Linked DNA regions of Macaca mulatta. The protein of the gene in region 3 interacts with the protein of the main gene of each other region in a biochemical or structural test. Links are inferred from orthologs where the notes say so. Each region holds a gene or a part of one and is shown on either strand. Other genes may lie near its edges.

What was found.
Region 1: of the proteins of LDLR (region 3) and MYLIP, one has a biochemical effect on the other in vitro, tested with the Homo sapiens proteins (4 studies listed by BioGRID, with this or other methods). The link is inferred for Macaca mulatta from reciprocal best matches to the Homo sapiens genes LDLR and MYLIP.
Region 2: the proteins of LDLR (region 3) and PCSK9 form a complex in vitro, tested with the Homo sapiens proteins (3 studies listed by IntAct, with this or other methods). The link is inferred for Macaca mulatta from reciprocal best matches to the Homo sapiens genes LDLR and PCSK9.

What each region holds. Positions count from the first base shown.
Region 1 is NC_133409.1:166,972,039-166,975,687, forward strand, and holds part of MYLIP (E3 ubiquitin-protein ligase MYLIP), read right to left. Parts: intron 1,307-3,649; coding exon 1,121-1,306; intron 208-1,120; coding exon 10-207; intron 1-9. UniProt on the Homo sapiens protein: E3 ubiquitin-protein ligase that mediates ubiquitination and subsequent proteasomal degradation of myosin regulatory light chain (MRLC), LDLR, VLDLR and LRP8. Activity depends on E2 enzymes of the UBE2D family.
Region 2 is NC_133406.1:185,576,512-185,580,160, forward strand, and holds part of PCSK9 (proprotein convertase subtilisin/kexin type 9), read right to left. Parts: coding exon 3,524-3,649; intron 2,383-3,523; coding exon 2,199-2,382; coding exon of another isoform or gene 2,169-2,198; intron 1,709-2,168; coding exon of another isoform or gene 1,673-1,708; coding exon 1,499-1,672; intron 1,210-1,498; coding exon 1,061-1,209; intron 273-1,060; coding exon of another isoform or gene 231-272; coding exon 53-230; coding exon of another isoform or gene 20-52; intron 1-19.
Region 3 is NC_133424.1:11,851,863-11,855,511, reverse strand, and holds part of LDLR (low-density lipoprotein receptor), read right to left. Parts: intron 3,075-3,649; coding exon 2,935-3,074; intron 969-2,934; coding exon 827-968; intron 692-826; coding exon 539-691; coding exon of another isoform or gene 486-538; exon of another isoform or gene 1-485.

The DNA.
Region 1 (3,649 bases), on a different chromosome or scaffold from region 3:
TTGGCTTACCTATTAATTGGGCTAAAGTCATCTTTACAAATTGAGATTCCTTCAGGTCCAACCCCAATGAGCAGTTTCTGCCCTTCGCTATCCCTCACAGAATGCCATTCTATGCCATAGTTTTCCATTGCCGACACAATCTGCAAAACTTGGTATTCAGCTGAAGCCTGGCTGGTCCCCTCTAACTCCTTATGTTTTGCAACAATGCTGGAGGACACCAAGAGGACAGAGAATTAAGTATACAGATATTAACTTTAGAGATAAACCCATGTAGTCTTCACAAGTGAAATATACTAACACTGATGAATCACAACAGCTTAAAACTTATGTATTACTGATGTTTCATGTATTTAGCGAACTTACTGTAAAAAACCTCTAAGACACTGGGATCTCAACTATTAAATACTTGGTAAAAACACTTTGGGGATGCTGGATGGGTGATGAATTGAAGAATTATGGAAAGTCTCTAAAAATATACATAAGTCAAATTTACATATTGGAAAGTCTCATGCATTTGTCCACATATAGTTTATAAGTATAAAGCTGACCCCTGAGGCCCCTGTAGCCAGGGAAGAAGGCAGGCCAACAAACCACAGGAGTCAACTTGGCATGGAGGCCACCCTCTGTTGAGCCTTCAGATGAGACAGAGTTCCACCTGCAGCTTGACTACTGTCTCATGAGCCAGAGGACCCAGCCAAGACATGGCCAGATTTCTGACCTACAGAACTGTGAGACAATTTTTGTTGTTTTGAGCCACTAAGATTTGGGGTAACTTGTTATTCAGGAATAGATAACTAAAATGCCTATTAGATCTCCTGGTTTAATTCTTGCTGGGATGAAGAAAACACCAATATACATAATAGATTTTTTTATTTTAGGAGATTTGTACTTAAAGGCAGACATTTAAAAAATTCTCATTATATAGCATTTCATATTGTGTTTATATATTTTTCAAGTAAAAGGCTAACAAATTTTTAAAAAATACTTGGTTAAATTGGGCAATGGCCCAGTCTTAACCTCATGAATTATGTGTATGTACCACAGATTCATCTTCTTCTGGAAATGCTCATACATTTGATAGCTCTATGAATATAAGCAGTCGCCCTGATGGCAGCCTCACCTGTTCAAGGTGGCAGAGGAGAGCTCCTTGGCACACAGCTCCTCATAGTTATACTTGGCAGTGTTCTGGTTGTAGTCTCCAAACTTGGTCTGGGCCAGGAGGGCACTGAGTTCCACTGCCTGCTCTGGGGAACACAAAAGGTGGCCTGCCAAGAGGGCCTCCTTGATGTGCAAGAAAAAGATATGCCTGCAGAGCAAGGTGAGAGTGAGGTTACGCTTGGGGATAACCTGACATCAATCTCAGCCTACTTAGCAATTCCACAGTCACTTTTAAGGAGAGCAATTTAAAAAGTCACACTGAAAATGCTTAACATTAAAGAACTTTAAAAAAAAAACCATCAGTATTAAGACAAAATCAAAGTAAGAACTGAGTTTCTTTGGAATAAAAGTTGTGACTCAAAAACAAGATAAACTTATTTAATACAAGTTTGGTAACATTAAGGCTACAAAACAAAATAATTACACATACACATTTCTGCATTATAGTGTTTTAAAATAAATTATTTTAATCAGAAAAAATGTATCTTGACATAGATTCTCATAGAATCTTAAGGAACCCTATACATAAAGACAAAATTCTCACCTTTATTCAAATGATACCCCTATCTCTAGTCTCAGTGCCAGCTTCTCTCCTAAGAATCACAGGAAAAATGTCCAATCTCCTATAGGCTTCACCACCTGGATATTCTTCACTACCTCAATTTTGGCTCATTCAAAACCAAACTCCATATATTCTTTCCAAAGCCCTTTTCTCCCAATGGAGACCACAGACTGACTTTGGACTCTGTCCAATTTCACTTGACTTTCTTGTCTCTGAAAACTATTTAAATCCAGTTCTATGCTCCTGTTTGTACCTCCTCAATACTACTTGCAGGAAGAATTTACGCTATTCTCTGAGCTGCTCTCCTCCTCCAGACTCCATGCAGGCAGCCTACCTTCCATGCTGCTTGTTTCTAGTGTAAACTTGTCATTTCTCTGCTCAAAATCCTTCAAGGGATCTGTACGGCTTGCCAAGGGAGCACGTCATTAACGTGGAGCTGAGGAGTCTCCGCCATCTGGCCCCAGCTTTCCAGCCACGTCTCCTGTCATTCCCTGCAGCTGCTATGCCCCAGGAGAGGGAACAGTTCCTCTCTGGAAAATCCAGGAAGCATGTTCATGCCATGGTGTCTCTGGTCTTGCTGCTCCCTCTGTCCTGATGGCCATTCTTTCTGTCCCCTTGCTTGGATACCCATTGGTCTGTATCACATGCAAATCCTCTATTCCTCTACTACAGTATTTGACATAACATGTATATTATATATGACTTCTTAAGTGCCTCGAACATCAGAGCGCTCCAAAAATGTACATAAAACTGCATATTATGTGTGATTAGTTTACTTTCCAGCCTTAGTTTCATCCTGCTTGAGCCTCTCCTAGTTGTATACAATACTATACATTTACTAAAAGGTATGCCACACTTAAAAACTCCTGTAAAATTCAGATACTCGTCACACTGCCCAAAACTCTGAAGAGCATCTAAACTGCTGTAGACAGATTGGCCTCAGTTATAACATGTGTCCCTGGCCAATGTGAAGTTTTAACCTTCCTTTGATGACTTGTCATAACCTCTCAAACAAGGTTAATATTGCCACAATATTCCTCCCAGTAACAAATGAATTATAACTTTGGCCAGGTGCGATGTCCCTAACACTGCTTCTGTTTATAATATATCTGTGTCTGACATTCCAGGTAGAGGAACATGAACGAGTAAGAATCAGCTAAGAGGAGACAGTGAGGCTACAAATCTAAGGAAGTGCTACACTTAGAGTCTAAAATGTCTGGCTGACAAGAGCCATTAATCTTATTTTCACTAAGAAGTGTTTAAATTCAATGTTTTGTGCATTCTGTAATGATAAAGAAATATTTAAAATGATGACCAAATACTACAGTTTTTTTCTTTTTTCAAAGTCCCTGTAAAGAAATCATAGTAAGAATGTGTAATAGCCTGAAAGAAGATAAACATGCTTTTTATTAACCCAAACATCTGCTAATCTTTAAAGTATTTCTGACATACTGCTAAACTGAGAAGGGAGCCCCCATTGGGGCAAAGGAATCACCACAAAAATAACTTGCTGTAAAATAGCTCTCTGAGGACTGAGATCTAGCATTCTCAGCAAGCCATGGTTTACCACACTGTTGCAGGCCTCAAAAGGTTTCTTAGATGACCATTTGATAAACGTCATCTTGGTGAATGTACCCATCTCTGTATTCAACTGGGGTGGAGGCATGCTGTTAGGAAACTAAAATCTGTATCTATGCTTATGTTAAAGAAGAAATTATGCTCTGAAAGATTTGAAGAATATTGCCACAAACTAAGTCTTCTTAGTTTAATTACTGCTTATGTAAAAGTGGCGTCTTTTTTTTTTTTTTTTTTTTTTGAGATGGTGTCTTGCTCTGTCACCCAGGCTGGAGTGCAGTGGCATGATCTCGGCTCACTGCAACCTCCACTTCCCGGGTTCAAGCGATTCTCCTGCCTCAGCCTCCTGAGTAG
Region 2 (3,649 bases), on a different chromosome or scaffold from region 3:
GCATAAGGAGAAAGGGAACTCTCCTCACCCCAGGGCAGGCCCAGCCTCCTACCTGTGAGGACGTGGCCCTGCTGATGGCAGTGGACACGGGTCCCCATGCTGGCCCCAGCTGGTGGAGCTGTGTGGACGCTGCAGTTGACTTGGGGTAGCAGGCAGCACCTGGCAATGGCGTAGACACCCTCACCCCCAAAAGCGTTGTGGGCCCGGCAGACCCGCTTGCCCCCTTGGGCCTGAGAGTCAAAGACAGAAATAGGAATCTGCTTTAGAATGGGCTTTGAAAACAGAGAAAGGGACTAGACAGGATCAACTCAAGCACCCTCGTCAGTGTCCCTACCAGGGGCCAGTCAGACCCTGCCCCTAGCCTTCTGGGGACAAGGAGCTCGCTCCTGCCCAAAGTAGACTGTTCTGCCAATGGGCAGCTCTGAATACTCAAAAGTTCTTCCAAACACAGAGTGGTTTCAAAATGGAGATACAGGGAAATCCAAGAGGCCAAAGCAAGGACCCAGCGGGCTCCACCCCACCCACTCTGCCTCCCACACAAGCATTAAGACACCATCTCCCAGGCCAGAAATGCCTGCCCCTCCTCACTCTCCTGACTGGGCACTGCCCTTCCACCAAAATGCTGCGACCAGATGGCATCTGTGCACTACCCTGTAGCATCAACATCAATTCCCCTTTTTTGCTGGTTTGAGATTTCTCAGCTCCCAGAACCATGGAGCACCTGAGTGAGAAGGGCCTAGAGATGGCTGAGTCCAGAGTAGCAGATCCCTGACCCTCACGCTGACACCCATCCAGCACCCATTGAAAATCCATCCAGCACTGTCCTGCAGCCTCTAGGAAATCCTTCTCACTGTGGCTCTCTCCAGCGGCCCCCAGCAGCGTGAGATGAGGAGTGCCCCACTCCTGCTCTGGCCAGCCCTGTAAGCTTACAGAAGAGCTGGAGTGTCGAGGATGGAGGGGCTTGCTGCGGGTCCCTCAGGGCCCAGCACTCACACACACACACACACACACACACACACACACACACACACACACACACACACGAAGGAGGGGTAGCCACCTCGATGCGCTCGCCCCGCCGCTTCCCACTCCTGGAGAAACTGGAGCAGCTCAGCAGCTCCTCATCCTGGGCGCAGCGGGCTACGGCTGTGGCCATCCGTGTAGGCCCCGAGTGTGCTGACCACACAGTCCTGCAAAACAGCTGCCAACCTGCAAAAAGTGCCTGGGATGAGGAGGGGGTGCTGGGAGTGAGGGGACCTCCACAAAAATCTTTAGTTCATGGTAGGAGAGAGGAGGGCTTAAAGAACATACTCAACTGTCTCTATAAAAACATGTTATGAAAATATTGCAAAGCCCTTTCAGAGCCCCCTTCTCATTTAATCCTATTTAAGGTGGTGTCATCCTCCTTACACAGACAAGGGAGAGGGGAGAGACTGTCAAGGTCACACAGACCTCCCAAGCCCCAGTCTGGCCTCGCCCACCCTGCCGTCCTGCTTACCTGCCCTGTGGGTGCTGGGGGGCAGGGCGGCCACCAGGTTGGGGGTCAGTACCCGCTGGTCCTCAGGGAACCAGGCCTCATTGATGACATCTTTGGCAGAGAAGTGGATCAGTCTCTGCCTCAACTCGGCCAGAGTGAGCTCCGGCTCGGCAGACAGCATCATGGCTGCAATGCCTGGTACAGGGGTGAATGGTGAAAGATGGTGACGGCCTGACCCTCCTGCCCCAGCAGGGGACTCCTGCCAGTGCACACACACACACACATACACACAAAAATACGTGCACACACCAGAGACACCAAGCTCTCTTCTAGAAGGTAAGCCGCCTGCAGTCCCTCACACAGTGAGGTAAGACAGCCTTCCGTCACACCTCTAAGCCTTGGTAGTTGCTGTCTTATCGGCCAGGTGGACTCCTATTCATCCATCAAGCTCCAGATCAAATGTCCCTTGTCCAAGAAGCCTTCTCTGACCCTCGGGCTGGGCAGGTGCCTCCTCTGGGCTCCCTCTAATACAGCCCTAACCTCGTGTTCCCACTGTGCACTCGTCTCCCTCATCAGACTGAGTGTCCATGAAGGCACCATCAGGCCTGTCTCATCTCTGGTCCCCCTGCACAGAGCCTGGCACTGGAGGTCCTGGCACAGACCCTGACCGCCAAAGGGCTGTTAGCATCACGGTGGCCAAGGCAGTGGGGTGGTGACTTACCAGCCACGTGGGCAGCAGCCTGCGATGTCCCACTCCGTGACACAAAGCAGGTGCTGCAGTCGCTGGAGGCACCAATGATGTCCTCCCCTGGGGCAAAGAGGTCCACACAGCGGCCAAAGTTGGTCCCCAAAGTCCCCAGGGTCACCGGCTGGTCCTGGGCATTGGTGGCCCCAACTGTGATGACCTGGAAAGGTGAGGAGGTAGGTGGCACAGAAAGGAGCCCAAGAGAGGGGTTGCAGAAGCAAACTGAGGCCTTGCCAGCTGGGCTGAACAACTGCTATACACCTGTTTGGGTCCCATTCAAATGTCCCCTCCTAAGGAAAATCTGACTCCCCAGGCAGAACTCTGGCACCCCTGCCCCGCCCTGGTGCTCCCCTCTGTCCCTACCATAGCCAGGCAGCATTCCCAAAGCCCCTGTGGAGTTTACATTCTAGTGAGGGAGATAGGAAACTACTCGGTGTATCAGGTGGCTCTAAGTGCCACGGGGGGAGACTGAGAGGGCAAGGCAGAGATGTGTTGGGCTTTGTTTGCTTGATGCCTTTAAATTGGGCTGCCAGGGAAGCCTCCGAGGCCAGGGAGGATCTGGGTTACCGCTGTCAGGTATGCTTCTGCTCCGCAATCCCCACCCACAACGCGCGCGCGCACACACACAGACTTGAAGTTCCAGACTTGAAGTGGAACAAGATTCTCTCCCCTAGATACCCGCAGTGACCTGACACTGGAGGAGTGGTGGTCACAGGAGGGACGGTCACTGCCCCCCAGCTCCTCAGGGCCGAGGCTCCGTGTCTGTGTCCCGGCAGCCACACTGCACGGCCCTGCGGCACACTCTCTGGATGTCCCTCGGGTGAGGTCTGAGCCCTCAACTGTTCCCATTCACATTAGCCTTGCTCAAGTGGTCAGTCATGCAGCTGCGGAGGGATCTGGATAGTGGGGAGGGCCTAAGACTATTGGGCGGGCCCTAAGAATATTGGGCGGGCCCTAAGACTATTGGGCAGAGGACGCAGGGCCTGGGGAGGGAGATGGGGAGGGAGATGGGGAGGGGGCGGCTACCAGGAGACCCTCAAGAGGGAGAGTGGCCAGGACGGGCTGTGGGGGCGTGGCTTCGTGGGCGCCGCTACGTGGGGGCGTGGCGGGGTCACTGCTGTTCAGACTCTGGGATGATGGAGGCTCGAGGCCATTCCTCCCCAGCCTCCCGCATGGCGGGGGGGCTCTGACGACTCCTTCCAAAGCCAGAAGGGTTCAGCCTCCAGGAACGTGCTGCAAGAAGCCCACGAGGCCCGCCTGCCCTTTGCTCCCCGTCTTGGGGCAGCAGCCTCAGCACCTACCTCGGGAGCCGAGGCTGGGGAGTAGAGGCAGGCATCATCCCGGAAGTTGCCGGCAGCGGTGACCAGCACGACCCCAGCCCTCGCCAGGCGCTGGCAGGCGGCGTTGAAGACCCGGCTGTACCCACC
Region 3 (3,649 bases):
ATCCTAGCACTTCAAGAGGCAGAGGTGAGTGGATCATCTGAGGTCAGGAGTTCGACACCAGCCTGACCACCGTGGAGAAACCCTGTCTGTACTAAAAATACAAAAATTAGCCAGGCGTGGCGGTGCATGCCTGTAATCCCAGCTACTTGGGAGGCTGAGGCATGAGAATTGCTTGAACCCAATAGGAGAGGCAGCAGTGAGCCAAGATGGCACCACTGCACTCCAGCCTGGGTGACAGAGCAAATCTCAAAAAAGAGAAATAAAAGTCAACAAAGGGGACCATTTCCTCCCTCAGGGCCCTTGTCAGAAATCATATCACCTCTTCACGGGTCCGGGAAAGAGGAAACCAGGTATCAAAGGGGAACTGGGTATATGTCCAGCCCAGTGCTGATGTGTCCATCCAAGGAAAGAAAAGTATGGTTTTCCCGACTCACGAGTCCTCACAATGACTTAGAGGTACCCATTTGACAGATAAGCAGAGAGTCTCAGGAGGGGCAGTTGGAGGACACAGGACACAGAAACAAGGCGTGTGCCGCACCTGTGAGGCAGCTCCTCATGTCCTTGGCCAGCAGCATGCCGTCCGGGCAGGTGCAGGTAAACTTGGGCGACTGGGGGTTGATCTGTGGGGCAGGTAGGCACAGATACTGGCAGCCGCCATTGCTCAGCGTGGTCCTCTCACACCAGTTCACTCCTGGGGCAGAAGAAGTGGAGTCAGGGCAGGAACCAGATCATCAGATAGACTAGAAGATTCCAGAAACTTCCAGAACATTCCAGAGTTTCCACAAGGAGGTTTCAAGGGGGGGTGGTGGGGCTGACCCACCCTTACCTCTTGGCTGGGTGAGGTTGTGGAAGAGGACCATATCCTCTGGGGACAGTAGGTTTTCGGCCAACAAATTGATATCAGAACCTGTGAGGCGGTTGGCACTGAAAATGGCTTCGTTGATGATATCTGTCCAAAATACTTTGTCCTAAACAGGCAGCAAGGAAGATGACAAATCCCATTAAACACTGGGATGAGATACAGGCCACCCTCTCTCCACAACTTGTTTGCTTGTTTGTTTTTTGAGACAGAATTTTACTCTTGTTGCCTAGGCTGGAGTACAGTGGCCCAGTCTCGGCTCACTGCAACCTCCACCTCCCGGGTTCAAACGATTATCCTGCTTCAGCCTCCCGAGTAGCTGGGATTACAAGCACATGCCACCACACCTGGCTAATTTTTTGTATTTTTAGTAGAGACGGGATTTCACCATGTTGGCCAGGCTGGATTCAAACTCCTGACCTCAGGCTATCCACCTGCCTCGGTCTCCCAAAGTGCTGGGATTACAAGCGTGAGCCACCATGCCTCACCCACAGCTAGCCCTTTTTTTTTTTTTTTTTTTTTTTTTTGAGACTAAGTCTTGCTCTGTCACCCAGGCTAGAGTGCAGTGGCACAATTTCGGCTCACTGCAATCTTAGCCTCCCAGGTTCAAGCGGCTCTCCTGCCTCAGCCTCCCGAGTAGCTGGGACTACAGGCGTGTGCCACCACACCTGGCTACTTTTTGTATTTTTAGTAGAGATGGGGTTTCACCATGTTGGCCTGGCTGGTCTCGAACTCCTGACCTCATGATCCACCTCCCTCAACCTCCCAAAGAGGTGGGATTATAGGCATGAGCCACCATGCCTGGCCCACAACTAGTTTTTAATTGTGGTAAAAATATACATAACATAAAATGTACCATCTCAGCTATTTGTAAGTGCACAGTTCAATGGCCTTAAGCAGATTCACACTGTTGTGCAAGTATCACCATCACCACCACCCATTTCCAGAAATTTTTTTCTTTTCTTTTCTTTTCTTTTTTTTTTTTTTGAGACAGAGTCCCACTCTGTCGCCCAGGCTGAAGTGCAGTGGCATGATCTTGGCTCACTGCAGCTTCCAACTCCTGGGATCAAGCAATTCTCATGGCTCGGTCTCTGGAGAACCCGGGATTACAGGTGCCTGCCACCACACCTGGCTACTTTTTGTATTTTTTGTAGAGACAGGGTTTCGTCATGTTGGCCAGGCTGGTCTCGCACTCCGGGACTCAAGTGATCCTCCTGCCTCAGCCTCCCAAAGTTCTGGGATTATAGGCGTAGGTTGCCGTGCCCAGTTTAAACCTCTTTTCTTTATAAATTACCCGGCCTCAGCTATTCCTTTACTAAAATGCAAATGGACGAACAGACCTGAGGGGACTCCACTTTTGGCTCTGGGTAATCATGCTGCCAGGAACGTGGGGTTATAAAATAATGCCATTTCCTTAGAGCAGGTTTCCCCATCGTGGCGGTATCTAGGGCCTGCTACTTCTCTGTTCTGGGCGTTCAGCAACGTCACTGGCCTCTACCCACTACATGCCAACAGTCTTCCCCATCAACTTGTGACAACCAAAAAATCTCTAGAAATCGCCAAATGTGCCCTGAGAGCCAAGATCACATGTGACCGAGGATCACTGCCTTTCACTGCTCTCAGTAAAAAGAATACAAAGCACCAGGCGCGGTGGCTCACGCCTGTAATCCCAGCCAGCACTTTGGGAGGCAGAGGCAGGTGGATCACCTGAGGTCGGGAGTTCGAGACCAGCCTGGCCAACATGGAGAAACCCTGTCTCTACTAAAAATACAAAATTAGCCGGGCATGGTGGTCCATGCCTATAATCCCAACTATTGGGGAGCCTGAGACAGGAGAATTGCTTGAACCTGGGAGGTGGAGGTTGCGGTGAGCTGAGATCACACCATTGCATTCCAGCCTGGGCAACAAGAGCGAAACTCCGTCTCAAAAAAAAAAAAAAAGAAAATAGAAATAACTCAGGTCTAAGACATCCTCCTAGTCATGACCAGTTTTCCGCATTCGTCTTGGCTTGAGTGATCTACACAGTCTGTGTCTATCTGCCATCTAAGTTCTTGCATCTCGTACGTAAGCCGCACCTCAAAGATGGCCAAGGAGAAGGGGTGGGCCAGCCTCTCTTTGTCCTCCAAGACGGTCTTCCGGTTGCCCCCGTTGACGTCGATGCTTGAGATGGAGTGAAGTTTAGAGTCAACCCAGTAGAGGCGGCCACTGGGGAAATCTAGAACACACAAGTGGATAAGGAGAGGTCACGTGCCGATGCCAGTCCCAGAGGGGCCTGCGGGCCTGGCCACGCTGATCCGGGCAGGAAGAACCCCCCAGGGACCCGGCAGAGGTACCTGGAGAGGCAGCTCCAACCATGTGTGATCCTGAACCCCTCCCCTGTGACGCCCTCTCCAACAGGCAGGTAGGGGAGCTGCAGGTCAGAAAAACCTCAGGGAGGCTGGGTACGGCGGCCCACGCCTGTCATCTTAGCAGTTTGGAAGACGGAGGTGGCAGGGACCCTTGCACCCTGGAGTTTGAGACCAGCCAGGCCAACATAACAAGACTGTGTCTCTTCCCCAAAATAAAATACAATTAGTCTGTGTGGTGGCACGTGTCTGTAGTCTCAGCTACTCAGGAGGGTGAGGCAGGAGGATCACTTGAGTCTGAGAGGTGGAGGCTGCAGTGAGCTACGATTGCGCCCCTGCACTCCAGCCTGGGTGACAGACCAAGACCTCATCTCAAAAAAAAGAAAAAACAAAGAAAAGAAAGAGGGACATCTTCAGGGAGCAGCTTGGGCTTGTCCCAGAGCCA